7 linked regions of the Oryctolagus cuniculus genome follow. The protein of the gene in region 4 interacts with the protein of the main gene of each other region in a pairwise test. Links are inferred from orthologs where the notes say so. Each region holds a gene or a part of one and is shown on either strand. Other genes may lie near its edges.

Region 1 (4,298 bases), about 29 Mb from region 4:
AGGGAACCTGGGTCTGCAGGACGCGTGTCTTGCCCAAACAAACGCTTTCAGGGCATCAGATTCCCTCGCTCCCCGGCGTGTGGGCCTCGGTCCAAGGCCAAGGCCCTCCCTTTTAGGGGTGGGGGAGGGGCAGCAGGTGGGAGCCGCTGCGTCGGGCGGAGGAAAACCCGGGACTCCGCGGGACGAACGCGGGGGAGAGGGTACCTCGCCGCACCCCGGGCGGGACCGGCAGGGCCAAGCACAGCTTTGCTAGGAGCCATCCACTCCCGCACGCGTTCTCCCAAGGAAACCCTGGGCTCCGCAAACCGGACGACGCCCCAGAGAGCCCCGGAACACCAGGCTCTGCCCGGTCTTCCAGGCCTTCGGGAGTCTAAAAAAAGCCCCAGGCAGGGGCCGCCCCTCCCCCGGGAACCCGACGTCGCTGACAACAGGCCTGCGCTCCGAGAGGCCGGGACCCGCAGAGGTGAGACGTGGAAGGGGGTGCGGACCCGCAAGGGGTCTCCGCCGGATCTGCGGGTCGTGGCGCCTGGCTCAGCTCCCGCCGCGGCAGGAGCGCAGTGGGCACCTAGTGCGATCCTAGGCGCAGCAGCCAGGCCTGGCCCCGCGCGACTGAGTGCCCACGCCCCCCCCCACACCCACGTGGGCCCGCCCCCGCGGCGCGCCGCCCCCAGCCCCGGCCTCCGCTCCCGGCAGCGGCGCAGGGGCTCCCGGCTGCAGGCGCCTGCACCGCGCGTTGGCGGCGGCGGTGCCGTGGCCCGGCTCCCCGCCTGCGCGTCTGTGTCTCCCGCATCACCTCGGTGAGTCTGCGGCGCCCCCAGGTCGCCGCTCCCTGGTTGTGGCGCGCGCAGCCCCAGGCTCCGCGCACGACCCCGAAGGAGCGCCGCACCTTCCCGGCCGAGCCGCCTTTCTGCTAAGCGAGGACAGCCCCCTCGTCCCCACCCAGCCCCGGCGCTCCCTCCTTGCCTTCCCCGCGGGGCACGGGAACCCCCTGCGCCACCAACCGCGCCCCGCGACGGCCGGGGGCGGCGGGGCCTCTTTGTTCACCAGGCGGGCGCAGGGCCCCTCCCGCGGTGTCGCCGGCCCCCTCCCCGCGCGCTCTCCCCGCCTCCCGGAGTTCGTCCGGACCAGGTGGCGGCGGGCGCCTTTTGGGGGTGCGCGGCCGTGCAATTGGTGGATTTTTTCGCACGGGTTTGGCGGGGGAGCGCGGCGTGGGGGGCGGCGAGAGCGCTCCTGCTGCTGCTGCTGCCGCCGCTGCTGCCGCTCGGCGCTCGCCTTGCGCGCTCCCCGACGCCACAGCCCGGGCCGTGCCGCGCCGCGATGAGGGTGCTGGGGCACCGGCTGGAACTGCTTACAGGTATCGCCGTCGCCGCTTTCCGGGTCGGAGCGGGCTCCGACCGCGGTACCCGGGGGTTGGGGCGCTCGGGTGCGAGCCCGAGGGGTGCGGATGCCAACTAATTCCCAGCTTGTGCTCTACCTGCTCCTGGGCGGAGCCCGCCCGGCTCTGCTGAGAGTGAGCGAGACGGCCTCTGGGGTCCCTGCCCGGCTCAGGGAAAGGAGCTCGGATCCCCTGCCCTCCAATCGGGGCGGCTCACTCCCCAAGAAAGGAGCGCCCTGGACTCCGGGCAGCACCCGTGCCGCGGGCGTCTCGTGTCTGCTCCCTGTGACGGTCCTTTCTGTAGGGGGAGAAGTTTCTTGACCGTTATAGAGGCCAAGTGGCCTGGGATCCTGGTGTCTTGGGGGGCCCTCTGGGGAAGTGACCAGATGCTATGCTGGAGACCCACAGGAGCGTTGGGCTGTGCCGGGTGAAGCGATTGGGACTGGCCGCCCTGAACTGGGCGGGGGGGCTGGACAGTAACACCCCGGCTTCCGTGTGCGCCCCCGGGGAGGGGTGACTGGGAGGGGGGAGGGGGACACTCGGGAGTTCCCCGTCCATGTGCTGCAGGAACGCATGTGGCTTTCAGTAAATGTGTCTGGCACCTGGAAGTGCGGTTTCTGCCCTGGAGGACCTTACAGCACTAGAGCCGGGTTGCAGGCAGGGAGGGGCAGGGAGCAGTCAGGGCACTGGAGAAGAGGTTGGAGCCTGAGCTAGGGCGGGGGGGGGGGGGGGGGGAGCCGGCGGGTGAGAGCAGGGGTGGCCTTGAAGAGGGACTCTGTGTGTGACACAGGGGTGGGGTCATAGACTTGAGGCGTCCAGGCGGCTGCCCTGGTGTGAGCGAGAGGCTTGAGCTGGGAGGGATGTGGAGCTGGAGATAGTGGGGGCAGGGCAAGGGGCAGGCTCTAGGCTGTGCATTCCCAGGGCAGGCAGGGCCTGGGAAGTGTGGGCTCAGAGCCCGCTTAGCCACAGCCAGCATCTGTCATCCCTCATCAACTTTGCCTTGGCGAGCTCTCTGGCTAGGGCAGGCCCAGCCCACCTGCCCCGGAGAACGGCCCAGGTGCTGGACTTAACCCCTGCCCGGGGCAGGCTGTGAAGCCCCATGGAGACGGAACTTCTGGGTCCTTTCCGCCTCCCCTCCCTGCTTCCACAAGACCTAGAGGAGAAATGCTCACGGTGGGCACGTGGGGGACCCGAGCTTCAGGGCCCTGGGTGCAGCACCTCTCCTCCCTTGTCAGATGGGCTCACCTGCTCCACCAGACTTGCTAAGCGGCTGGCCAGGCGGAAACAGGACCCTGCCTGTCACTGTCGGTCCCAGGCTCCCTCTGACCTCTAACCCCGGGCCTCAGCGCACCCCCTCTGTGGCTGTTCGACCATCTCTGCAGCCCTCCTGTCTGCCTCTCCATCTCCCAGTCTTGGATTTCAGTTCCCACCACTCACTCGCCAAGGTTAGCTCGCCTCTCTGGCCTCAGTCTTCTGCTCTTAAAGGTGGCGTTCTCACCGCCTTCTAAGAGGTGGTGTGCGGTTTGCTGAGATAGCACAGGCCACGCACCTGCTGGGAACAGGCCTCTCTGGCTTTATTTCCCCTCTGATTGCGCAGTCTTGGCTGCCCCCAAAATGGAGAACTCCATGTGTCCTGGCTGAGGAGCCACCGGGGATACTGGATCTGCCCCCAGCCCCTTAACCTTGCTCACATGCAGCTGTGAGAATTTGACCCACTGGGGAAGGTAAGCAGGTCACAGGGTGGCTGTTGATTGATTGTAGTGGCATACAGCAAGTGCTTAATAACTGTTGACTGAGCCCAGGCTGGCATAGCCTGTCATCAGCAGTGTCTCCAGGATAACTTTTTTAAAAAAAAAATTATTTATTTGGGGGCTGGTATTGTGGTGTAATGGGCTAAAGGACTTGGGCCATCTTCTGCTGTCTTCCCAGGTGCATTAGCAGGGAGCTAGATTGAAAGTGGAGCAGGTGGGGCTGGCGCCGTGGCTCACTTTGTTAATCCTCTGCCTACAGCACTGGCACCCCGGGTTCTAGTCCCGGTTGGGGTGCCGGATTTTGTCCCGGTTGCTCCTCTTCCAGTCCAGCTCTCTGCTGTGGCCCGGGAGGGCAGTGGAGGATGGCCCAGGTCCCGCACCCTGGGTGGGACCGGCAGGGCCAAGCACAGCTTTGCCAGGAGCCATCCACTCAAGCCAAGCCATCCACTTGGGCCCTGCACCCGCATGGGAGACCTGGGAGAAGCACCTGGCTCCTGGCTTCAGATTGGCGCAGCTCTGGCTGTGGCAGCCATTTGGGGGGTGAACCAACGGAAAGACCTTTCCCTCTGTCTCTCTCACTGTCTGTAACTCTACCTGTCAAATAAATAAGTAAAAATCTTTAAAAAAGTGGAACAGCGGGGACTCGAACTAGTGCCCATATGAGATGCTGGCATTGCAGGCAGTGGCTTAATCCACTACACTACATTGCCAGCCCTTTCAGGATAATTTTGTAGAGGACCTGGGACTCCCTGCCTGCACGTCAGCCTTACAGAATTGTTTAACTGAAGCAGCTTTTAAAAACTCTGATTTGTCTGGTTCTCTCTGGTTTTCACAATCTCCTGTTTATTAAGACCATTAAAAAAAAAGGATGTATTAATTTGAAAGGTAGAGTTACATATGCACACACACACACACACACACACACAGAGGGAGGGAGGGAGGGAGGGAGGGAGAGAGGGGTCTTCCATCTGCTGGTTCACTCCCCAAATGGCTGCAACAGCCAGGGCTGGGCCAGACTGAAGCCAGGAGCTTCCTCCAGGTTTCCCACATGAGTGCCAGGGCTCCAAACACTTGGGCCATGTTCCACTGCTTTCCCAGGCACATTAGCAGTGAACTGTATCAAAAGTGGAGCAGCCAGGACTTGAACCAGTGCTCATATGGAATGCTGGCAT
Region 2 (3,834 bases), on a different chromosome or scaffold from region 4:
TCATCCATAACATTACAACACATGTCAAAAATTAAGCTAGATTTTTTTAAAAAGATTTATTCATTTGAAAGAGTAACAGAGAAGGAGAGGGAGAAACAGAGGCAGAGAGAGGGGTCTTACATTCACTGATTCACTCCCCAAATGGCCACAATGGCCAGGTCTGGGCCAGGCCAAAGCCAGGAGCCAAGAGCTTCATCTGGGTCTCCCATGTGGTTGCAAGAGGCCAAGACCCTGGGCCATCTTCTGCTGCTTTCCCAGGCGCATTATTAGGGAGTTGGATCAGAAGTAGAGCAGCCAGGATGTCAGCCCTGCAGGTGGCAGCTTTACCCACCATGCAACAGGGCCAGTCCCTATTCTAGATACTAAGAAGTTCATTATTTACACCTTATTTTACATTGAAAAATTATTCCCATTTTAGTTTTTACAATACAGACACATATTTCTCTTTATTAGCTAATTCTGATTTCATGTATATGTTCAAAATACCAAATTAGGTCCAATTTGCCCTATTAATAGTGAGTACAATTCTAGTTTCCAGAAATCAGGTTACAAAGTTGATCTAGATTTATTACTTTTTCCAATACTCAAATGTATTAGACTAAAAGAGTAACTGACATGTAATTCCACATTAATCTTGATTATTAAGACACATCTAACATTAAAGTATTTCTTTATGTAGATTGCTTTAAGAGGTATCTCAAACACACTTTTCTAAAAATGTAGATAAAATGTTTATTGGAGTGGGCACGGTGGCACAGTAGGTTAAGCTACCCATCCTGTATCAATGCCTGGATGAGTCCTGGCTATGCTTCTACTTCCAGCTTCCTGCTCATGCACAGCACGTGCTGGTTCAAGTCCTTGGGTCCCTGCTACCCATGCTGGAGACCCAGATGGAGTTTCAGGCACCTTGCTTCATCCTGGCCCAGCCTCAGCTGCTATAGGCATTTGAAGCATGAACCAGCAGATGGAAGATCTCTATCTTTCACTGTTTTACTCTGCCTTTCAAATAAATAAACTTAAGAAAAAAAAAAAAAAAACCTGCAGATAATTGGAATTTCTGAACAAGAAAAACATATTCTGTTTTACTAATAGCCTTTCTTTTACATTTACAAGAAAAATCTAGACATAAATAGGCTTACTAATTTCCCTTAAAAGAGAGAAAGCAAAATTTCAAAATACGAGGGTACTTCAAAAAACTCATGGAAAACTGGAATTAAGTTTCAGGGCAGCATTTGGCATAGTGGTTAAGATGCCATAGGAGACCTCCCCCATCCCGTATCAGAGCGCCTCAGTTTGAGTTCTAGCTCCACTTCCTATTCCATCTTCCTGCAAATGTAGGCTAAAGCAGCAGGTGACGATTCTGCCACTAATATGGGAGACATGGATTGAGTTTCTGGCTCTTGGATTAGGCTTGGCCCAGTTCCAGAAACTGCAAGCATCTGGAGAATAAACCAACAGATGGGAGATCTTTGTCTCTGTCTGCCTTTCAAATTAAATAAATAAATCATGACTTTTAAAAACATGAAACAAATGAAGTGTTAGTATCATAAAAGATTTTACTATCATATAAAATTTATATGACTAAAAAACTTTGATTGCTATGTATTCTACTTACATCACGTAATAACCTAATAACAGGGCAGTTTCTAGGTTACTTCATGGGATTTTTCCCTTTCACACTGCAATTGAAATGTTGATGGCCTACAAACTAGACAACCTGCAGTGAGTAACTGAAAGCCGGGGCAGCATGTATCTTCAGCAAGGTTCCTTCCAAGATAGCAGATGTCACAAGTTCATATTTTTCTTGTTTGTGATCCCAAAACTGGCAGCATTTTCTTTTCATCCACTCTGTTCTTATGTATTTGGAAAGCAGGTGTTATCCATCTTCCACATGAGCACTGTTCACCATACCAATTGAAGGAACCCAATTTGGCACTGCATTTTGGACAAAGCAGCTGAAATAAAAAGCCAATGTATTACTTCATTTATTCACTTTTATACAAAACAAATAATTTTCTTTGGCAATATAGGATATAAGCACAGGCAAACATGGCCCCTATCTTCAAGGAGTTTGTACTCTAATTGGTGACATTAAATACATGAGGAATTTGCTGTATTATAGATGGTGGACTACAATTACTGCCTAAGAAGTATGTTGTACTCGGGCAGCTTAGAGGAAGAACAGATGGATCCCAGCTTTAGGGGAGAAAGGTGACATTTGAAACTCAAGGATGGCTTCAAGAATGTGGCATACATACTAGGTTTTTAAATCAACGTGTAGGGGCAGGCACCTGACACAGTGGTTAAGACATCACTTAGAACAGCCACATCTCATCAGAGTGCCTGTTTTGAGTGCCACCTCTGCTTCCAATTCCAGCTTCCTGTTATGGGTACCCTAGAAGGCAGGTGATGGCTCAAGTAATTGGGTCCCTGCCACTCATGTGGGAGATCCAAATTGGATTCTGGGGTCTTGGCCCAGCCCTAGCTGTTGCAGGTATTTGGGGAGTAGACAAATGGATGAAAGATCTCTCTCTTTTGGTTCTAGTTCCAGCTGCTCCTCTTCCAATCCAGCTTTCTGCTATGGTCTGGGAAAGCAATAGAAGATGGCCCAAGTACTCAGGCCCCTGCACCTGCATGGGAGATCTGGAAGAAGCTCCTGGCTTTTGATCAGCCCAGCTCCGATTGCTGTGGCTATTTGGGGAATGAACCAGCAGATGGAAGACCTTTCTCTCTATCTCTCCCTCTCCGTCAGTAACTCTACATCTCAAATAAATAAATAAAATCTCAAAAAAAAAAAAACTACAACATGAATAAAGAATGGAAAAGATTATTAGGATTCTCATGTTTTATTACTGATAATGATAGCATGTAAGTCAGATTCCTAGTGACTTAAAAACAATCAACTGATATTCCAGTAAAACAGATAAATCAAAGCTTTAGTAAACTGTATTTTCTTTCAGTGCAGTTATCACATTTTTTAGGTTTAGTTCTATAATTTGTACATGGTAGGAAGTAGGAATTTTTGCTTTTAATATTAAACTACAGGAAGTCCAGATTTAAAGCCCAGAAACCACAAATGAAAAAATAGACTACACAGTATCTTAAATTTTATTACAAAATATACCAAAAATTTGAGATAAGTAATAGACTAGGGAAAATAATTCTATTTATTAAATGAAGCATCTACATCTAGAATATATACACAGCTCCTACAAATCAGTAAGAGTAAGAAAATTCATAGAAAATAGGCCAGGGATGGTAAAGCAGTTTACACAACAAGAAACTATAGATGGGGCGGGGGGGGATCGGCGCTGTGGCTGAGCGGGTTAACGCCCTGGCCTGGAGCCCCGGCATCCCATATGGGCATCAATTCTAGTCCCAGCTATTCCTCTTCTGATGCAGCTCTGTGGCCTGGGAAAGCAGTGGAAGATGGCCCAAGTCCTTGGGCCCCTGTGCCCGAGTGGGAGACCAGGAAGAAGCTCCTGGCTCCTGGCTTCGGATAGGTGCAGTTCCGGCCATTGCGGCCATCTGGGGAGTGAACCATCAGATAGAAGACCACTCTTTCTCTCTCTCTCACTCTCTCTGCCTCTCCTCTCTCTGTGTAACTCTGACTTTCGAATAAATAAATAAATAAAAAGCAACTATAGATGGCTGGTAAATGCAAAGATGTCATCCTCGGCTGTAGTCATGAAAAACGTAAGATTAATATTTTCATGATACAGACTGACAAAACTTCACCAGTTTTATATATAACTTGCCCAGGGTATGAGGAAATGGGTAGATATTCACTGTTGGTGAAAACTAAATTTGTATGAGCATTTTGAATGTCAGCCT
Region 3 (3,732 bases), on a different chromosome or scaffold from region 4:
TGGTCTCTGCTCAGCAGACCCTGCGCCGTCCAGCCCCGCCCAGGAGGCCCTGGATCTCCTCTTCAGCTGTGGCAGCCCCCAGGAGACGTCGGGGACCCCCACCCGGGGCCCACTCACCGAGGCCGACCTCGCCCTCTTCGACCCCTTCTCCAAGGAAGGTAACGGATGGGGACGGCCAGAGCCGGGGTGTCTGGGGCCGAGGCTGGTTCACTTTCTGGGGCTGTAACAGGGGCCTAAGGTGGGCACTGAGGAAGCGAGCCGATTTCACTCACGGTGTCGGCAGCTGCAGGTCCGAGACAGGGCGGCCCCGTGTGTTTGGCCCCAGTCAGGGCCTTGTGGCAGATGGTGTTATGGTATGACCGACAGGCATAACGGGAAAGCCACCTTGCCATGCCGACATCCCATATGGGCATCGGTTCGAGTCCCGGCTGCTCCACTTCCAATCCAGCTTCCTGCTGTGGCCTGGGAAAGCAGTGGAGGATGGCCCAAGTGCTTGGGCCCCTGCACCTGTGTGGGAGACCTGGAAGAAGCTCCTGGCTCCTGGCTTCGGCCTGGCAGAGCCCCGGATGTTGTGACCATTTGGGGAATGAACCAGCGGATGGACACACTCACTCTCTGTCTCTCTTTCTCTCTCTCTGTAAGTCTGCCTTTCAAATAAATAAATCAATCTTTAAAAAATAAATGAAGACGATCCCATGGTGAGACAGGAAGTGAGAGCAGCTCAGGGCCCACTCTGTAAGGCCGGCCTTCATCGCCTCTGGGGTCCGTGCCCCCAGCACCCAATCCCCACACACCGCTGTCTAACTCTGTGTATTTATTTGAAAGTCAGAGTTACACAGAGAGAGAGAGAGAGGTCTTCCATCCGCTGGTTCACTCCGCAACTGGCCGCGACAGCCAAGGCTGAGCCAGGCCAAAGCCAGGAGCCAGGAGCTCCATCCGGGCCGCCCCCGTGGTAGCAGGGTGCACGCGCTCGGGCCATCATTCGCTGTCTCCCTGGGCACATGAGCAGGGAGCTGGACTGCGAGCCAGGACTTGACCAGGCGCTCACACGGGTGCCGGCCTCCCAAACAGCAGCCTGCACCTGCTGTGCCGCAACACCAGCCCGGCCCCCACCTCTCCAGGCTCCACCCCCCGGTGCTGCCATGGGGACCAAGCATCCAGCACAGGAACCTCTGGGGGGGCCCTGTGACCGCATCCAGGCCACACCAGCTGCCAGCAGCCTGCGGGCCCCTCTGTGGTGCTGCCCGAGGCAGCAGGCAGCCTCGGAGCCCCCGTCATGCCGGGGCTCAGGGTGGGGCCAGCAGGTACAGAATGTGGGGAGGAGGCCGTTCACCAGCTGGACTCGCGCCCGCCACCTTCCAGCGAGGTTTGCAGAGTCCGGGCCCTGCGGTTGGAAGCCGCAGGTGGGGGTCCCGGCCGGCTCAGGGTCCAGATCCTGAAGGCAGGGGAGACCCACCGGCCGGCAGAGGTAGGGCCAGGGCTCAAAGGCCTTCTCACCCAACCCGCCAGCCTCGCGGCCTCGCGTGAACGCTGCAGGGACGGGGTCCGACCACCTCGGCGCCAGTCCTGCAGGCGTGCTGAGCCCCTCACTCGGGACAGTGAGGAGACCCCTCACCCCCGTCCTCACCTTTGGGCTAAAACTGTGAGACCTCGCAGAGCCCTGCAAGTCACTGAACCCGCCGCTCCAATGCGGGGACTTCGGGCTTTTCCGTCCCCGGCCTCCTGCCGTCGGCCCAGCCGCCTTCCGTTAAAACGCTGGGTTTCAGGTCAGCCAGAGGCAGCGGCAAGCAGGACCAGGGACGCAGAGCTTGGAGACCACGGTCCGCGTGCTCCTAAAGAGCCAGTTAGGACAGCAAGGCTGCGGGCGAGCGCAGGAGCCGCACCCGTTAAACAGACCCGGCTGCTCTGCCCTGTGCCCGCCCGGGACTGCTCCCCTCCCCTGGGGACAGGGCGGCGCCCTGGTGTGGGGTGGGCAGCAGGCCCCGGGAAGGGAAGGGCCTCCTGGCCTGAATACCCCCTCTCCCCTCTCTGACTGCATAAATTTAGGTGCAGGCTGCAGCCCCACCAGCGCAGGCGAGCTGGCAGCGACCGAGGCGGAGGCCACGCAGCCGCAGGAACCCTGGGAGCCAGGAGGGCAGCAGGGGGAGGACCCGCAGGGAAAGCCCGTACCCGCCTACGTGAGCCAGGCCACGGAACTCATCGCCCAGGCCCTGCGGGACGAGAAGGCGGGCGCCTACCCGGCCGCGCTGCAGGGCTATCGGGACGGCGTGCACATCCTGCTGCAGGGGGTGCCTGGTAAGGGGCGGCCTGGGGTCCCGGCCGAGGGCAGCGCAGACGTCAGGAGTCCTCGCCCCTGGGCGGCTGGCTCTCTCGGGGCCTCCCTGTTCTCATCTGTGCAATGGGAGATAGGCGCTGGGTCCAAGGGGAGGCAGCAAGGCTCAGCGGGTCGCTCTGGGAACCGTAAGGGGCTCGGCCAGGGCCGCTCAGAGGAGCCACTGTGTCGCCCCCAGGTGACCCATCCCCTGCCCGCCAGGAAGGTGTGAAGAGGAAGGCGGCTGAGTACCTGAAGCGGGCGGAGGAGATCCTGCACCTGCACCTGACCCAGCTCCCGCCCTGAGGGGGCGCACCCTCCCCGGGACTCCAGCTCCAGCACTGCCAGCCTCCCCGGCCCCTCCCCCAGGGCCTGGCCCTCCCACCGGGCCGTTTCTGTATGCGGCTGCACCAAGAATGAGAACGAAAGGATGAATTCTGAGCTGCCGGAGTGTGGGGGTCTGCTTGGGCCCAGGGGCTCGCGCTTGTGAGCCCATCCGACCACTGGACTGTCAGGTCACCCGTCTGGCCCCGGGCTCTGCCACCCACAGCCCGGAGCCACACATCTCGTGCTAAATACTGAGATTTTTTTCCACTTTTTAATGGTTGGGGGAAAAATAACAGGCAGGTGAAGATTACATGCAACGTAATCGTACATAAATAAAACTTGGCGGGACCCAAGGCTGCACCTGCGGGGTCACCTAGCTGTTGGGTGGCGCCAAGGGCAAATCCACTGCCCGCCTCGCAGGGAGGGCATTCGGGCCCCGGCGCTACCTAGTGGGGGAGGGCCGTCTCCATGGCAACAGTGGAGCAAGGCCGGCACAGCGCCCTCATTGGGTGGAAGGGATGATGGGGAGGGGCCGAAGGCGGGGCTATCCGTTTGACAGGGGAAGACAACTGGGAGCGCGGAGGGGGCGTGGCCTCGTGCCGGCCGCGCTTGGGGGCGTGGCCCGGTGCCGCCCCTCCTGCGAAGCGATTGGTTGCGGGCGTGTCAACAGACCGGTGCATGCTGGGAGTGCCGAGGCTGAGCGCCGCGCCGGGAGCAGGGCGTTAGTGCTGCTGGAGCTAGCGGAACGGTGGGCGGTGGGGCGTCGTGGGCCGCGTCGCGGTGCTGTCGCCGGGTCGGGTGAGGGGACGGTGGTGGGCAGAGCCGGAAGCGGTGGCCCGACGGGCGGGCGGGGAAGCGGGTCCCCGGCTCGGCACGCCCCCTGCTGCCGAGCCCACGCCGGCCTCGGCGTAAGGTCTCCCGGAACGGGCGAGGGGCGGCCGCGGTGCTGAGCGCGCCCCTGCTGCCCGCGGCCCACCATGCCCGCCTGCGAGCTGCCGCTGGGTACGTGCCCGGACATGTGCCCGGCCGCCGAGCGCGCCCAGCGCGAAAGGGAGCGCCGCCTGCACCGCTTGGAAGTGGCGCGGGGGTGCGGC
Region 4 (4,081 bases):
GTGCAGGGGCCCAAGGACCTGGGCCATCCTCCACTGCTTTCCCAGGCCACAGCAGAGAGCTGGATCAAGAGTGGAGCAGCCAGGTCTCGAACTGGCGCCCATATGGGATGCCGGCAGTGCAGGTGGAGACTTTACCCGCTACGCCACAGCGCCGGCTCCTTGAGGCCTCTTCCACTGTTTTCCTAAGCATATTGACAGGGAGCTGGATGGGAAGTGGAGCAGTTGGGACTCAAACCATTGCCCATATGGGATGCTAGCGTCACAGGCGGTGGCTTAACCTGCTGTGCCACAATGCTGGAGCTGACAGCTCCTTTAAACACACACACACACACACACACACACACACACTTCTGTTTAGGGGCCAGCGCTGTGGCATGGTGGGCTAAGCCTCTACCTGTGATGTCGGCATCCCCTACGGGTGCTGGTTCAAGTCCTGGCTGCTCCTCTTCTGACCCAGCTCTCTGCTGTGGCCTGGGAAGGCAGCAGAGGATGGCTCAACTGCTTGGGCCCCTGCACCCACGTGGGAGACCCAGAGGAAGCTCCTGGCTCCTGGCTTTGGATCGGCACAGCTCTGGCCGTTGTGGCCATGTGGGAGTGAACAAGTGGACGGATGATCTCTCTCTCTCTCTCTCTCTCTCTGTAACTCTGTAAGTAAATAAAATACTAAATAGCAACAAGAACAACAAGTTCTCTTAGGGGAGAGGGCCATTAGCCTAGTGGTTAAGGCACCTGTGTCCCACCTCGGAGTGACTGGGTCTGGTTCGGGTTCTGGGGCCCTGGGAGATGATCGGGCTCCTGGGTCCCGTGTGGGAGACCTGGGTTGAGTGGATGGGAGTTGTGTGTGTGTGTCTCTCTCTGAAATAAATGTAAAACATAAAGTAAAATTCTCAACCCTCTCCTCAACCCCTCGTGGCTGTCGCGAGTGTTACCCTACTCACCCCGGGATCCCTGGGAGGGGCCCGCTCCCCACCTCTCGAGGACGGAACGGACGCCCACAAATTCCCTGCAACCCTGGGGCTCGGTATGCGGCCCGCGGGGGACTTGATACAAAGGCGGATTTCATGGCCTGCAGTCCAGACTGGCTGAGTCGGAACATTTGGGCCCGAGGCCTAGGATTCAGTGTTTAATCAAGCCCGCCAGGGTACATTTTTATGCCTTCTAGAGTCAGGACGACAGCCCCGCACGGTCCCCACTGGACCCTCCGAGGGAGAATACACAACACTTAACTCCCCACCTCCCACTCCTGAAACTACAACTCCCACAATGCCCAGAGAGACCACAACTCCCACAATGCCCTGCGAGCCAGACTGCCGTCATGGCGCCCAGTCGCCCGTCGGGACTACAACTCCCACAATGCTCGGGGAGCAGAGCTCCTCCCCCAGCGGCGCCGACGCGGAGCCACGTCCGCGCCGCTGGGTGAGGCCTGGCACCGGCGGGGCCCGAGGGGTCTGCAGGGCCCGGGGCCAGTTACAGCGGTTCTGCCCTTCACAACGTAGACATGGCGGCCCCGAAGGACCAGCAGAAGGAGGCCGAGGCCGAAGGGCTGAGCGCCACGTGAGCGAGCCCGCTGTAACCCGGGGGTGCCGGCCCCGGCCTCCTCTCCCCTCGAGTCGCGGGGGTCCTGGCCCCCGGACACCGAAACGTCTTTCTAGGACGCGAGTCCGGTCCCCCGGCCCCTTCCTCCCCCGGGATCCAGGGGAAGCCCCTCCCTGCCCCGCCCCGGCCCGCCCCAGGGCCCAGGCGCCGGCCCTCCCCTCCCCCCTCCGCTGGTGTCTGGGAGGGGTCGGGGGTCCCGGCTCACCGCTGCCCCCCCCCCCCGCCCTCCAGGACCCTGCTGCCGAAGCTCATTCCGTCCGGCGCCGGCCGCGAGTGGCTGGAGCGGCGCCGGGCGACCATCCGGCCGTGGGGCGCCTTCGTGGACCAGCGGCGTTTCTCGCGGCCCCGCAACCTGGGCGAGCTGTGCCAGCGCCTGGTCCGCAATGTGGAGTACTACCAGAGCAACTACGTGTTCGTGTTCCTGGGCCTCATCCTGTACTGCGTGTGAGCCGGCCCGCCCCACGCCCAGGGCGCCCTGGCCTCCGCCCGCTGCGGCCGGGCCCGGGCCCTGACCTCCTGACCTCCGCCTCCCTGCCCTCCTCCTCCAGGGTGACGTCGCCCATGCTGCTGGTGGCCCTGGCCGTCTTCTTCGGCGCCTGCTACATCCTGTATCTGCGCACGTTGCAGTCCAAGCTCGTGCTCTTCGGTGAGAAGTCACCTCCTGGCCTCTCGGCTCGCAGACCTCGGCCCCCAAGTCCCCGTCCCTGGGGCCTCACCCGAGCCTGGCTCTCGGGATTCCCGCAGGCCTGACACAGCTGGTGTCCCAGCCTCAGCCCCCGCGTCGCCCTCGCTCACCCCCTGGCTAAGCCCCAGCCCTGCCCCAGCCGCCGCGCCCTCCCCGCCTCTGCGGGAAGCATCGCTGCACGTCCCCACACGGGACACCAGGTGGCGCCCTTGCACCGGCCTGGCCCTCCCCACCTGTCTGCGCCCCGGGGTGGGACCGGGGAGGTCTTGGGGCTGCTTGGGGAGGGGAGTCCAGGCCGTGCCTCCTGCTACCGAGCAGAACTGGCAGGTTGGGGGGCAGCCAGGGGGTGGTCGGGATCAGGGAGCCAAGGGCAGGGGGGCTGGGGTTGGCAGAGCGGGGAGGGGTCCCTGAGGAAGCCCAGCCACACCCTGGCCTCGCCAGGCTGCAGGTGGCGTCTCGGCCGTGTGAGGTTCTGTCCATTTGTGTCCTCCACCGGCTGAGACTCGCCGTTGGAAGCTGAGCTGGGAGCTGAGGGAGGCGGTGGGGACGCTGGGGGCCGGGCAGGGGGCAGGGGCCGCTTTGGGGGGCCGGGTGGAGGCAGCTGCCCATGCCGTCTGCCCGCAGGCCGTGAGGTGAGCCCAGCCCATCAGTACGCCCTGGCCGGAGGCGTCTCCTTCCCCTTCTTCTGGCTGGCTGGGGCCGGCTCCGCTGTCTTCTGGGTGCTGGGTGAGTGCCGGGCCGGGGTGGCGGGGTGGCGGCGGGGCCGGGCCAGGGGACCCGCCCTGAGCCGCCCGTTTCCCTCAGGGGCCACCCTGGTGGTCATCGGCTCCCACGCCGCCTTCCACAAGGTGGAGGCTGTGGACGCGGAGGAGCTGCACATGGAGCCCCTGGAGCCCGTGTGAGGCGTCAGCGAGGCCCCCAGCCGGGCGCCCACCCTTGCCCACTGCCCACCGCCAGCACGTGCCCCATGTCGGGGGTGGCTTCCTGAAATAAAGCTGTGACGCTGTCACACAGCACGCGGCCCCCAGGTCTCCTGTGACGTCACTCAGCACAGGGCCCCCGGGTCTCCTGTGACATCACTTGGCACGCGGCCCCCAGGGTCTCCTGTGATGTCACTGGCACGCGGCCCCCCGGGTCTCCTGTGATGTCACTGGCACACGGCCCCAGGGTCTCCTGTGACATCACTGGCACACGGTCCCCCGGGTCTCCTGTGACGTCACTGGCATGGGGCCCCCCAGTCTCCTGTGACGTCACTCAGCACAGGGCCCCCAGGGTCTCCTGTGATGTCACAGGCATGTACCCCCGGGGTCTCCTGTGACGTCACTGGCACACGGCCCCCAGGGTCTCCTGTAACGTCATGGCACGTGGCCCCCCGGGTCTCCTGTGACGTCACTGGCACGCAGCCCCCCAGGTCTCCTGTGACGTCACTCAGCACACAGCCGCAGGGTCTCCTGTGACGTCACTGGTACGCGGCCCCCCGGTCTCCTGTGACGTCACTGGCACGCGGCCCCCCGGTCTCCTGTGACGTCACTCAGCACAGGGTCTCCTGTGATGTCACAGGCATGTACCCCCGGGGTCTCCTGTGACGTCACTGGCACGCGGCCCCCCCAGTCTCCTGTGACGTCACAGACACGTGGCCCCTGGGGCCTCCTGTGACGTCACTGGCACGTGGCCCCCCTCCGGGCGGTGATGGAGACCAAGATGGAGGCGGTGGTGACAGGAGCACACACGTGGACACTGCAAGGAGTCGGGCAGCGCTCAGGAAGGGAGGGGACGCTGAGGGTCTCACCAGGACGAGTG
Region 5 (3,834 bases), on a different chromosome or scaffold from region 4:
TACAATGAAAATTATAAAGCACTAATTTTAGAAATTGAAAAAGGCACAAGAAAATAAAATAAAAAAAAAAACCTCCTTTGTTCATGGGTTGGAAAAAGTGTTTAAAATGTCGGTTATGCAAAGCAATTTTACAGATAAAATGCAATCCTCACTCTTGCAGTAGCACTCCTCATAGAAAAAAAACCCTATAATTCTCTCAGAAAAACAATAGACTGAAGAGCCAAGGCAAGCTTCAGCAGCAACACTGGAAGCATTACGATGCCTGATTTCAAGACAGATGACAGAGCTACAGGAACCAGAGAGCACGGTACTGGCGTGAGAACACACACACAAATGGGACAGAACAAACGACAGCCTCTGCTATTAATGGTGCTGGGACAACTGGATATCCACATGCAGAGAGCTGAAACTTGACACATGCACACAACCCACCTCTCAATCACTATAAAAATCAACTCAAAATGGACCAAAGAACTGAAAGTATTAAGTTACTGGAAGAAAACATGGTGAAAGTATTTCAAGACTACAATATAAGCAATGCTTTTGGAGGTAAAATTCCAAATGCTCGGGCAAAATTAAGGCAAAGACAGACAAGTGGGATTCCATCAAACGAGGAAGCTCTGCGCAGCAAAGGAAACAATCAGTGTTGTGAGGACACAACCGACAGAATGACAAAGAATATTTGCAAACTCTTCATCTGACAAAGGAGTAATATCCAGAATACGTAAGGAACAAAAAACTTAACAAAAAAAGTGCAATTTAAAAATAGGCAAAGGATCTAAAGACAGTTCTCAAAAAAGTAAACACAGATGGCCCACAAATAGAGGAAAAAGTGCATGGTCATTAGCAGGGAAATGCACATCCTAACAATGAGGTGTCGTATCGCCCCAGCTAGAACAGCTATGAATGCTAGCAGTATGCAGACGAGAGGGAACTGGGACACACTGCTGCAAACTCGCAATCTTCAAGCAGTGCAGGAGGCTCCAGCCATCTGGCTGCTGACATGTAGCTGAAGACAATGACATCGGCACGTGAGATACTGCACTCCCACGCTGACTGCAGCACTATTCACAACAGCAGACACGAATCAACCTCGCTGCCCAGAGACGGGTGAATGGTTTAGAAAATGCATGGTGTATGCACAATGGAGTATTATTCAGCCACAAAAAGGGGAAGTTGTGTCATCTGCAGAAAAACGCACAGAACCAGGGGCTACTAAGTGAAGTACCCCATGTCCTCCCCAACACGTAGAAGCTAAGCGGAGGAGTTGACCCGGATGTAAGGTCATGGTTCCGAGGCTGTGACCTGGGAAGGTCGGTGACAGGTAGCAGAACAGTGACGGAGGATGCAGTTCTGGTGTTGCTCAGGAGCACGACTGCAGGGACCAGGAACTACGAGGAAGGAGGCCCAGAGGGAGCAATGAGGGTATGTCACAAGGGTGACAAACAGGGACAGTTTCAGGTCCTACTCCATGAACCTGTTGTGTCTGCAGACTAGGAGCATGACCTGGGAAAGGCATCTTCTAATGACTTTCCAATCCCAGACGCTGGGCACAGGGTCTCCCACAGGGAATGTCATTGCCTTGGTGTCGGGGGCTAGGCACGGACCTGCTCCGTGCACAAGCACTCAGTAAGCTATTAAGTACAACATGGTATCTATCCCACACACCACGGCTTCTACAGGCTGAAGTCATCAACTGACATCAAAGTTTCTTGTGAAATAGCAGGTATTTGACAGTAAGTCGTTTTCTCATTTAATGACATTCATGTTTTTCAGCTATCGAATTATTATAAATGATATGTAGGACAACAGATACAAAGCACTACATTTTAAAGGTATTCATTAAACCTCAGAGGTGGTTTTACTTCAACTGAGTATTGGCAACGTCGTGAAAAAAGTCACATTACCCTGATTAGCAAGATCGGTAACAACTGTAACGAGCAACTTCACTTATTCACAAGAGACTTTTATTGGTTTTCAAAAAGCAATGTTATTTTAAGGTACAGTTTATAAACAGTAGTCATATCCTGATTTTTGCCAACATGAAAACGTGTTCCTCTCAGGAGTTCATGGACTACAGCACACATGTGGCAGACACAGGAGTCCTGGCGAGCAGGGAGCCAGTGACCAGGGAGAGTAGCAGAATGTGCCCAGCCTCCCTCCCTGGTTGGCTGAGGCCTCCACCCACCCACCCACCCACCCACCGCAGGGCTGTGCGCTCTCCTCCCATCCCTCCAGCAGCTGGTTTCTCAGCGTCTGCAGTTCCGCTTTCCTGAAGGTGCAATCCCACTCACATTCCGCCTGCACACTTCTCAGTCACCTACCAAACATGCAGAGCCCGATATGCACTAGAGCTTTCCGAAGGTCAAGTACACGCTAACAAAGTCATTCATTACACCTACATTTTCTTGATTTTAACGATTTGTTCGAAAGATTTCTGCCTTCATTAAAAATTTATACTCAGGTAAATAAAAATATGATGGTCATAATGTTTGCTGTAGCCAGCTGTAGCATAGAGGTTGCTGAGCTAGAAACACACTTGGGCGGGAGCTGTCCAGTGTTATTTAGCCTTAAGAAAATGCCAGCAGAAGGAATGGGATACAGGCACAATACTCCGTCTCCAGCCGTTACACTGAACTGTGCATATCCTCCAATTCTGTTCTATCCCAGGTACTTGTATCACTGCAAAGATGTCGCACTACGCAGAAACGCGGCAGGCAGCCTGGGCTTCTGCATCGTGGGAGGGTATGAAGAACACAGCGGAAACAAGCCTTTCTTTATCAAATCCGTGGTGGAAGGCACACCAGCGTACAACGATGGAAGGATCAGGTAATAAAGACAACTGCTGCACAGAGAGCTTACATTCAGGTCCTTTGCTTCAGACACACAATACTGGCCCCATCTGAAATAAGGGCTCTTCCTTTTGAGGGGAAGGGTGGGCAAGAAAATAAAACACTTGCACAGCATTTAACATAAAACACCCCGATGATCGATCGCACGTGCTCTCGGCCCTACACTGCAGGTCGCTCTACCTTGAGCACCCCTTTTAACACAAGCGGAATGACTAGCATGCTTAAAGAATCTAAGGGGGGGGGAGACCCTTAAGTAATCAAAACCAAACAAATCTAGCAGAAATGAGGCCACCAAAATCAATCTGCATAAACTTCAGCTAAGAAACCAAACATCCCTCCTGCTGCCTTGTTCAGGTGCGGTGACATTCTCCTCGCAGTCAACGGCAGGAGCACAGCAGGAATGACGCACGCCTGCTTGGCTCGAATGCTGAAGGAACTCAAAGGAAGAATCACCCTCACTCTGGTGTCCTGGCCTGGCACATTCTTGTAGCATCAATAACGGGTCAGAGAACATGACACACGGGCTAAGCTGGAACAATGTATTTATCTTGTCAATTTTTATAGTGAACGAAAACTTTGTGAAAATGTCAGAGAAGGCCTAATCTAATAAAGCCAATTGCACCTCAGAAAATAGGACTCTCAAAAAATAAAAACTACTACAGAATGGTCTGATCTAGGATGCAGCACTGCACTGTACTCCTTCATTTGTATTTTGTGCTCAATAAAACGCTCTCGAGCACCTGAAATGGTTTGTTAGGGCCCACCGAATTCAAATCATCAACTCAAATGCTGGTTCAGGCTGAGATCAGCAAAGGGTACGTTACGGGCATTTTTAATTTAAAGCAAGAGGATTTTGAAAAATGCATTCATTGCTAAAAACATTCAGCAAATGAGAAATAAATATTTTTCCACAAACCATAGCCGCCTTTTGTATGTGATGCTAATTCTAAGTTTCCTTCTGTCAGCACTATTTCAAAGAGCC
Region 6 (4,339 bases), on a different chromosome or scaffold from region 4:
GGAGACCTAAATTGAGTTCCTGGCTCCTGGCTTCAGTCTGGCCCAGCCATGGCTGTCTGGCTATTGTGGGCATTTGGGAAGTATTGGAAGATTCTCTCTCTCCCCCCCCTCCCTTACAAATAAAGTAAGTTTACAATTTACAAAACCACAGAGGAGAATGACCCAGCAAACTATTATCTAGATATCAGAATCAGAAAACCAAAGTACTCTACAGTGATGATCCATACATGGTATTATAATTGATATTCAGAATGATGACTTTGGATTAGCCAACTAAGATTAAAGCCTTCTTTAATGGTTTTAATGTTGAATAGTATAATCTCAGATTTTAGAAATGGGTGATCAAATTGGTATATATATATATTTGAAGTTTCTATAGCTTAAATTTTAAAGAAAAATTAAAAATTAAATAATTTGAAATAGAAAAAATGTTTGACCTACATATATGCTATAAGGGTTAGCTGTAAATATATCTGCTAACTCAGCTAATAGGCCTATTAGCTAGAGATCTTGTTTTGAGTAACTTGGACTTGGTTGAGTAGTCCCATTCCAGCTTACTTACAGATATATTCACTGAAACCCTGACTTGGTTTTCTTTTAATGGGAATGGATTTAGGCACATTTGCGTCTTCCTGCAGCTCTGCTTCACACACAAACAAGATGGAAGCTCACCTGTGCCACATGAACCCTTGACTGATGGCATTAGCAATAACTCATGTGCCGGTGCTCTGCTATTGCCTATGAAATATGTTGGGGGGGATGAAGTATTAAAAACGAACAGAAATGGGTTCACTGTATTGTATGTAAATTGTATCTCAGTAAAGTTGATTTCAAACAAAATCTGAACCTTCAAATCATTTTGGAGAGAGGGATGGTGCCCTCTAATAACGTAAGAAAGTTGTGTTCATTTATCATCTTCCAAGCATAATCTAGGCTTCTGGCAAATTAGACCCAACCACTTGGTTCTACATTCAGCTGCAGGGGGGTGAACCCGCTTAGAGTCCCAACTCCCTTTGAAACTCCATTATTCTGGAAGGACTTCTGGTTAAGCGGAGGGCTGGGGAATAGAAGACATTTTGGGGTTTATGCCATGTCTCAAGATCCCTCCTCCTCGGGCCTGCAGTGGTCAGCCCCAGAAATAAAGTCCTCTTTCGCTGGAGCTGCCACTGCTAGCTTCCCCCCTTCTCCTACCCTCTATATGGCCCTCTCCCGCCGGCAGGCCTTCCCCATTGGCCAGCCAAACACAACCGACCGCGACAGCCAATGAGAGCTGCTCTCCTGAACATTCAGAGGATGGGTGCTCGTGGTGTGATGAGGGGAGGTTGGCGCCTGGTACGCACCCCCTACATCTGGCAAATCTGTGACAGACACAGTGACACCCTCTACACACGCACACCCTCGCCCCCCGGCTTCCTCCTCTCAGCTGCACGGGGCTCCCCACAACCCACTGCGTGTCTTGGTAGCACCCTCCCCAGCTCCTCGGGACCTGCAAGTGCACCTGCTTACTCAATAAGACAGAGCATCTCTTTATTCCAAGGCTGGGCGGGGAGCAGGGAGCGCCGAGGCGCGGCTCAGCTGCCTGCTGCTTCTGAGGCGAAAGAGGTGTCTCCGCCCCCACCCCACCCCGCCGAGACGTGTGGCTCCGAGGCCCAAGTGCCCCAATGATGCCTTAGGGTGCAGTGCTCTTTGTCCTCCCTAGCTGTGCTTCCCTGCTGGCTGATCCCGTGCGCTCCGAGCAAAGCGGGGGAGGGTGGCGCTGGGAGCCGGAAACCTACAACATAAATGGGCGCAAGGAGAAAGGAAGTCTATCTCGGGGTAGTGTGTGCTGCTCTCCCCACCTCTCCCTTGCCTCCTTAGGCTTCCTCCCTTGGTGTGTCCCTGGAGTCCAGGCAGGGGAGGGTCCCACGGTCGCGCGCCCCAGCGTCCCATCTGAGGGCACGCGCCGGCAGACGGGGAAGGCTCTCCTCTCGCCCACCCCTCTCCATCTCCTCCTCTCCTTGGCTTTTGTGTTGGTGCCTCGGAGCTGCAAGGAGGGTGCGCTGGAGGAGGAGGGAGACCTGGGGTGTGAGGCACCCCCTTCACGCGCGCGCGCGCACACGTTGCCGGCGCACGCACACACGGGCGGACACACACTCACAGACACGCACACACACGCACAAAGCTCGCTCGCCTCGAGCGCACTAACGTGGCCACCGTTTTCTTTGTGTGGAGCCCTCGAGGGGGGTTGGGGCCCCGGTCCGGTCCCGGGGAGATGGCGCAGCCCATCCTGGGCCATGGGAGCCTGCAGCCCGCCTCTGCTGCTGGCCTGGCATCCCTGGAGCTGGACTCGTCGCTGGATCAGTACGTGCAGATTCGCATCTTCAAAATCATCGTGATTGGGGACTCCAACGTGGGCAAGACCTGCCTGACCTTCCGCTTCTGCGGGGGAACCTTCCCGGACAAGACTGAAGCCACCATCGGGGTGGACTTCAGGGAGAAGACGGTTGAAATCGAGGGCGAGAAGATCAAGGTGATCCAGCTGGTCAGGTCCGGGAAGGGAGGGATCTGGGAGGGGGCCCCCGCCTCACGCAAGGCTCTAGGGGCTGTAAATGTCCAGCCTGGGGCTGTGTCACGGTGTGCTGAGCCCAAGACCCCAGGCCCCTCCTCATCCTCTCCCTTAACAGTGGCTCTGTCTCCACTTCATCCATTTTTTTTTTTTTTAGGGCAAACAGGAGTGGTTGCATTCTCACCCTTTCCCCCTGCCTGACAGCTCCTGTCAGGAAAAGCGTGTTTGATCTCATCCTTTACACTGAACGCAAGCAGCGGCACCTGTGGGCCCAGGGAGGCGTGGGGCATTTCTCTATCCTGGTCTGTCAGATGGATCCCAAAGCACTTTATACATCTTGAGGTTTCTTCTACCTCCTGAGTGCCAATAGGCTGCAAAAAAAAAAAAAAAAAAAAAGGCTAAGCCCTGAGACATTAGAAAGGTTGTGGAAATGCATGCTTTATTTTAAATTGCAGTTTATAGTTTATTAGGACTGAGTTGGCAGGGATGGGGGGGGGGTGGAGTGGAGGCTGATTCTGGCACAAAGCCAGGAGTCCTTTTAAAGAAATTGAGACAGGGTCACCTGCTGGCCCTCCATAATAGGCAAAATGTGGCCTTTGGAGCAGTCCCTCTGCAATGATTTTCTCTCTACTTGTCTGCAGTACGTCATGAACGGACTGCCCACTACTCTCTACTCTTTCTGTTGGTTTCGTCTTCAGGAAGTCTTTGTGGAAAATGCAGGGCAACTTATTGAGGGCCAAGGGAAGTGCCTTGGTCCTTGTCCCCCATTAGTTTCTAAAATGGGCTAAATAGGAATATTCTTGTCTGACCTTTTTGCGTTCACCTTTGCTTCAGAAAAGGTAGACACTCAATAGAACAGGCAGATATGAATGTGCAGGGGGCCACAGGAGAGGACACGGCAAGGACAAGTTCACATGTCAGGGAAGAAGGGGGAAAGATGATGGGGAAGGAAGCCCCTGAAAAGACACCGGGGACACTGAAGACCAACTCGTCTAGACTTTAAGTTGGCTTTCTCCTGAGTCTGTGCTTGAACTCTAGACAGGGTCACGGTGTAGGTGGAAGAGCCAAAGTGGCCCCAAAGCCCTTCTTCTGTGTGATGTAGCGAGAAGGGCCGAGTAGCAACTGAGCAGAGGGAAACACCCCAAACTGTGCAAGACTCCTTGACTATTAAAATGAATGCATTTAAAATGGCTGCAGATGGGCATCTGTATAGACTGATAAGGGAGCACCTTATGGCCAGGAAGAGAGAGAGCATGATTTGGAAATTCTGAACTATTTTGCTCTTTGCATGGTGCAAGGGAATGGCTACTTTTCTTTTTAAAGTCAAGGTAGGTATTGGTCTGCCTTCCCCGAAGCTCTTGTCTTCATGTTTGCTTGGTTGGGATTTCCTCTAGTATGTCTAGGTTCTTTAATATAAGGCTGTAAGATTTTGGAATTGCTGAAATGAATCTTTTGTGTGTGTGTGTTTAAGGTAGAAATATGTTCCTGGATGGGCTCCTAAATCCTTAAAAACCTTAATGTTTAATGCTATCATTTGTTTAAAAATCAAGCATTACAGTGAGCCATCTGAAATTTAGAGGGAGGAAAAACTGTTCCGGTGTCTAGGGGAGAAGGGAGGAGGCAGGATGAGGGGGGAGAAGAGGAAGCTGGAAGTGGGCTATGAGAGGTAGAGGGGAGTCACCACCCAACGGCCTTGGGGAGATTTTAAGCCATTCCTTCCCTTGCAACACCCCTGTACTTAGCCTAACTGGATGTTACAGTCTCTGCCAAGGATTCCAGACTTGTTCCCAGAGG
Region 7 (4,355 bases), on a different chromosome or scaffold from region 4:
TCTGATGGCTACCTGGAGAGCCCAGGTCAGACCCCAAACTGTTCCCCCAAAGGACCCCACACTGAATGTCAGCTAAGGATGCTTCTAAACGCCTGGCCGCCACTGCGGGCCACCAGGGCTACTCCCCACGACACAAGCCCTTGCTTCATCTTGAGGGAGTCTCACTTCTCCAGCCTGGGCCGTGGCCAGCTTCAGCAGGAAGTAGTTACAAAAGCACCACTTCCTGCCTTTCCCCTCCCTCCAGAATGGGAGTGAAAGGTCTCAGGGAGCATTTTGTGGCCAAGAATGTAGGATTTAGGGGAGGAGGGCAGAACTGGGACTGGGGCAGAGAGCACCAGCCGCCTTGAGCCTGTTTTCCCAAGCTACCAGGGGAGCTTAGTTTGTTACAGTGAACTGGGAGGGCAGGGCCGCCACGAACAAGGAGCCACAAAACTGCAAGATGCTGCTCTGAGTCCGAGTCTGCAGACCCGAGCTGAGCTTTGCTTCCAGGATTAAATTCTCCACCCGGGGAGAGACTGCGCCATTTCCCGACATGGGGACGCCCGTGAGGAGAAGCCCGGGAATCTGCCCCTCACGGGGGTCGGTTATTTCGGGGGCTCCTGCTGTCTCCTTCACTTCTCCCAGGGGAAATAAAGTTTTCCTCTGCGCACCGCTGACCTCAGACTGATCATCTGGGGACACCCTGAGCGAATGGACGCTCACTGTGGACACACAGACGGCGCGGACTTTCCAGCGGACTGTGCGGGGCCCCCAAGGTGTGCACAGCCAGGGCCACTGGGGAACTTAAAGATGAGGCGGCGCTGACCATGGTGTCCTTTCCTCCCCCACCTCAGGGGCAGGGATTGGGGGAGACCCCGCCCAAGGTGTCATTTCTGAAATACGTTCCTGATTCAGGCCCTTTGGCACTCTCCATAGCCCGTCTCTTAAATATCAGACATTTTAAACGTTAAAGTCGGCATTTGCAGCCCACACGCACGCCCCCCCAACCCCGAGGCCCCCTGCCAGCACCCGCCCGCCCCTCCCCGCAGCGCGCACACAGCTGAGGGGCCTGGGTCCCGGCTCCAGCTGGCTTCCAGGGCCCAGTCCCGCGCTGCTGCTCCCACAGCGTCAGCTCCAGCGCTTGGGGGGTGGGGGCGGATGAGCAGCGGCTGTGGGGACGAAGGTCGCGGGCTCCGGGCTCCCGGCGCCGCCGCAGCCCGCCGGGGTCCGCCTACGGGTCAGAAGCCGGCGGGCTGAGACGGCCCCTGGGCGGGCGGCGCGGGAGGCGGAAGCAGGAGGCCGAGCGGCCGCACACGGGCGGCGGGCGCTGGGCGCGGGCGCGGGGCCGTTACGTGCGCGGGGAGCGCGGGGCTGCGCTCGCGTGCGTTCCTGGGCGCTCGCCGCCACGCCTTTGAGTCAGCAAAGTCGGCGCCCGCCGTCCGCCCCCGGCCTGCGCTGCTCCAGGACAGCGGGTAAGTGACGGCCGACCTGCCCAGCTCTACCCGCACGGTCGCGGTGGGGACGGCGCCCTGGCCCAAGCCGGCCTCCCGTTCCCTTCCGAGTTCGCGGGACCCTCCCTGCGAGCAGGTGTCGGCCCTGCCGGCTGAGAGAGGCGCGGGCTCCCCGATTTTGATTTTGAGCGTTGCCTCCTCTGGCCGAGGTGTGCGGGGCGGGGCGCGGGTGCGGGCGCGGCGGGGGAGGAGGTGATGCGGGGCTCCTTCGCTGGGGAGGGGGCTGGGCCCTGTTGATCTTGCGGTTTGCCTGGAATGACCCCCGGGAGAGGGTGAGGCAGAGGCCAAAGCTGGGTTTCAGAAAAAGTGCTGGCCCCTCGCAGCAGCAGCGGGGTTGGGTGGGCACTGGAAATTCCTGGCAGCCGGCATGGACACTGGGAGTGGGGAGCGGCAGGCAGGGTCTTTTCGGGGCTGTGGGATGAGGGAAGCGGCCTCGGGGAAAATCCACAGGGACAGAGCTGCAGGGCCAGTGACAGGAGGAGGCACAGGCGGCCGCTGAGCTGTGGTGGCGGCAGACTCTCCCAGAGGCACGGGGGTCGCCGAGGGTGGGCGCACTGCACAGCCACGTGTCTGCTGGAAGGGAGGAGCGGCTGCTCCCCAGACGCGGGGACGCGCAGGAAAATGGGCGCAGACGTTCAGAGCGACAAGGAGGCTCCCGCGTGGTGTCCATCACCGGGGAAACCGAGGTGCGGGGAGGGAGGTGCCCAGCGCAGGTGCAAGCTCTGCCCCCACTGCAGAGCTGGGGTGAGGGTGGGGTGGGAGGGTTCCCCCCCCTCCCTGGGCAGTGGGCTGTGCTTGGGGAGGCCCAGGTGGGCTGGGGCTCCTGGCCAGGAGGATGGGGGTGAGGGGAGGTGAGTGCAGCTGGGTCTTCCTGTTTCTGAAAGCCATGGCAGACTTGACAGTGACTGGAGGCTGTTTTGAAGAAAGAGGGAATTCAATGCTCTTGAAGTAGAGGTGAGGCACTAAGGTCTCCTGTGAGCCTGGAGCCCGGAGCTGAGTGCCCTGGGCAGCAGTCAGGCCACTGCCTTCTCCTGCTGGCTCCCCTGGGGCCTGGGGAGGGCCTGGTGTGGACAGTGGGTCTTGCTCAGGCCCCAGCACCCCTCAGGGGCGGGGAGGGGTAGGGGTGACCCGATGCAGCTGCCTCCTCCCCAGGGCCCTGGGCCGAGCCTCATCTGGCCCCTCGGTCATGAGGTGTGGTCTGCTCCATTAGGTTCATAAAAGCAGAAATGCACACCTCCTTCTGCAGGCAGCCTGTAGGGCAGCAGCATAGGGCACCGTGGGCCACAGCAGTGAGCTTGACTGTGGAGCCCCTTGCTGATCTTTCCCAGCCCTGGCCTAGCCCTGCTCTCCCTCTGGGGATTCCTTTGCTGCTTAAGCCATGGGGGAGGGAGGAGCTTCTTTCCCTCTGGTGTCCGGGCTGAGGTGGAGCAGCTGGGGAAAGGCTGAGAACTGGCTACAGACAGGGCCCAGTCTACTCAGGCTTTGGTTTCCAAGAGTGGCCAAGGAGGGCTTTTGGCTGGGTTCGCGGTGCACTCCGTGGTAATTCCCCAGATTTTCGGTTGTTGTCTCCAAACATCTTTCTCTTGGTCATCGGGGAGGTGTGAGTTAGCTCTAGGTTCTCCAAGGCCTGTTCAACAAGCGGGTGTCCTCATGCAGAGACCAGATACGACTTCTGGTGTCAGACCGTCCCAGTGGAAGCCTTAGCACAGTCGTTTGCTAGCTGAGGTGTTGTTGGCAGCTTCCAGTTTCCGTTGTCTTTTATTCAGAAGTAAAAGGGAGGTGGGGTAGGCACGTGTTTAGTGAATTCAAACGAGTTCCTGAAGCCTGAGGTTCTGTGCTGCCTATGTCTCATGGAACACAAGGCCGCCTCCTGGCCAAAGCTTGATATTCCAAGGGAAAAAAGAGGCCTGATAGGTCATGAGACCTTTATTAGTTTAGGCCTCGTGGCTGGGTGTTGGAGCGCCTGGGTGTTGGAGCGCCTGGGTTCCGAGCCTGTCACCTTCCCTCTCATAGACACTGGAAGGTAGCAGTGATGGCTCATGGGACCGGGTTCCTGCCGCCCGTGTGGAAGAACCAGTTCTTGTCTTTTTCCTGGAGCTGTAGCAGGTTTTGGGGAGTAGGCCAGCAGATTGGAGCTCCGTCTAAAAAAAATGTTTTTTAAAAATTGATAACAATCGGCTGGCACCACAGCTCACCAGGCTAATCCTCCGTCTGCGGCACCAGTACCCCGGGTTCTAGTCCTGCTCAGGGCACCGGATTCTGTCCCGGTTGCCCCTCTTCCAGTCCAGCTCTCTGCTGTGGCCCGGGAAGGCAGTGGAGGACGGCCCAAGTGCTTGGGCCCTGCACGCCATGGGAGACCAGGAGAAGCACCTGGCTCCTGGCTTCGGATCAGCGCAGCACACCAGCCGTAGCAGCCATTTGGGGCTGAACCAACGGAAGGAAGACCTTTCTGTTTCTCTCTCTCTAACTCTGCCTGTAAAAAAACAAAAACAAAAACAATATATGACAACCCCTCTCCTCCTTAATTGTTAACTCCAACAGCCTACCTTAATGAGGACTTACTGTGTGCCAGGCACTGTGAAGGGATTTTATGTGTCTGGTTCCCTAAGCCTCAAACAAGCTTGTGGTGCAGATCCTATCATGTCTGCTTTTTACATCTGGGGATAGCAAGCCATCCAGCCATTTGTGACTTTTTAAATCTCAGCTCACAGTTTTAACCACCCTGCAAATTTGTCCCAACATACTCTAGTAGTCAGTAGTTTTTTAAGGCTTAGTGTGTGGCTCAGATGGAGCTCTAGGCTCCTGATTTTGATGTGGCCCAGCCCTGGCCATTGCAGCCATTTGGGGAGTAAACCAGTGGATGGA

What was found.
Region 1: the proteins of RABAC1 (region 4) and NDRG4 interact in binary tests that used the Homo sapiens proteins (3 or more experiments, as listed by UniProt). The two-hybrid records come from large-scale screens. The link is inferred for Oryctolagus cuniculus from reciprocal best matches to the Homo sapiens genes RABAC1 and NDRG4.
Region 2: the proteins of RABAC1 (region 4) and DUSP12 interact in binary tests that used the Homo sapiens proteins (3 or more experiments, as listed by UniProt). The two-hybrid records come from large-scale screens. The link is inferred for Oryctolagus cuniculus from reciprocal best matches to the Homo sapiens genes RABAC1 and DUSP12.
Region 3: the proteins of RABAC1 (region 4) and SNX15 interact in binary tests that used the Homo sapiens proteins (3 or more experiments, as listed by UniProt). The two-hybrid records come from large-scale screens. The link is inferred for Oryctolagus cuniculus from reciprocal best matches to the Homo sapiens genes RABAC1 and SNX15.
Region 5: the proteins of RABAC1 (region 4) and LNX1 interact in a two-hybrid assay, tested with the Homo sapiens proteins (2 studies listed by BioGRID and IntAct). The link is inferred for Oryctolagus cuniculus from reciprocal best matches to the Homo sapiens genes RABAC1 and LNX1.
Region 6: the proteins of RABAC1 (region 4) and RAB33A interact in binary tests that used the Homo sapiens proteins (3 or more experiments, as listed by UniProt). The two-hybrid records come from large-scale screens. The link is inferred for Oryctolagus cuniculus from reciprocal best matches to the Homo sapiens genes RABAC1 and RAB33A.
Region 7: the proteins of RABAC1 (region 4) and SNX10 interact in binary tests that used the Homo sapiens proteins (3 or more experiments, as listed by UniProt). The two-hybrid records come from large-scale screens. The link is inferred for Oryctolagus cuniculus from reciprocal best matches to the Homo sapiens genes RABAC1 and SNX10.

What each region holds. Positions count from the first base shown.
Region 1 is NC_091449.1:41,762,922-41,767,219, forward strand, and holds the start of NDRG4 (protein NDRG4), read left to right. Parts: upstream 1-1,199; 5' UTR 1,200-1,317; coding exon 1,318-1,354; intron 1,355-4,298. UniProt on the Homo sapiens protein: Contributes to the maintenance of intracerebral BDNF levels within the normal range, which is necessary for the preservation of spatial learning and the resistance to neuronal cell death caused by ischemic stress.
Region 2 is NC_091438.1:37,037,477-37,041,310, forward strand, and holds part of DUSP12 (dual specificity protein phosphatase 12), read right to left. Parts: intron 1,956-3,834; coding exon 1,794-1,955; 3' UTR 1-1,793. UniProt on the Homo sapiens protein: Dual specificity phosphatase; can dephosphorylate both phosphotyrosine and phosphoserine or phosphothreonine residues. Can dephosphorylate glucokinase (in vitro).
Region 3 is NC_091432.1:6,508,603-6,512,334, reverse strand, and holds the end of SNX15 (sorting nexin-15), read left to right. Parts: coding exon 1-158; intron 159-2,046; coding exon 2,047-2,295; intron 2,296-2,510; coding exon 2,511-2,617; 3' UTR 2,618-2,991; downstream 2,992-3,732. Other genes in the region: SAC3D1 (SAC3 domain-containing protein 1), read left to right, coding at 3,616-3,732. UniProt on the Homo sapiens protein: May be involved in several stages of intracellular trafficking. Overexpression of SNX15 disrupts the normal trafficking of proteins from the plasma membrane to recycling endosomes or the TGN.
Region 4 is NC_091449.1:12,583,533-12,587,613, reverse strand, and holds RABAC1 (prenylated Rab acceptor protein 1), read left to right. Parts: upstream 1-1,357; 5' UTR 1,358-1,498; coding exon 1,499-1,554; intron 1,555-1,827; coding exon 1,828-2,040; intron 2,041-2,144; coding exon 2,145-2,242; intron 2,243-2,905; coding exon 2,906-3,007; intron 3,008-3,085; coding exon 3,086-3,183; 3' UTR 3,184-3,304; downstream 3,305-4,081. UniProt on the Homo sapiens protein: General Rab protein regulator required for vesicle formation from the Golgi complex. May control vesicle docking and fusion by mediating the action of Rab GTPases to the SNARE complexes.
Region 5 is NC_091439.1:110,430,531-110,434,364, forward strand, and holds the end of LNX1 (E3 ubiquitin-protein ligase LNX), read left to right. Parts: intron 1-2,670; coding exon 2,671-2,829; intron 2,830-3,206; coding exon 3,207-3,342; 3' UTR 3,343-3,772; downstream 3,773-3,834.
Region 6 is NC_091453.1:107,847,900-107,852,238, forward strand, and holds the start of RAB33A (ras-related protein Rab-33A), read left to right. Parts: upstream 1-1,440; 5' UTR 1,441-2,251; coding exon 2,252-2,509; intron 2,510-4,339.
Region 7 is NC_091447.1:18,011,477-18,015,831, forward strand, and holds the start of SNX10 (sorting nexin-10), read left to right. Parts: upstream 1-1,284; 5' UTR 1,285-1,451; intron 1,452-4,355. UniProt on the Homo sapiens protein: Probable phosphoinositide-binding protein involved in protein sorting and membrane trafficking in endosomes. Plays a role in cilium biogenesis through regulation of the transport and the localization of proteins to the cilium.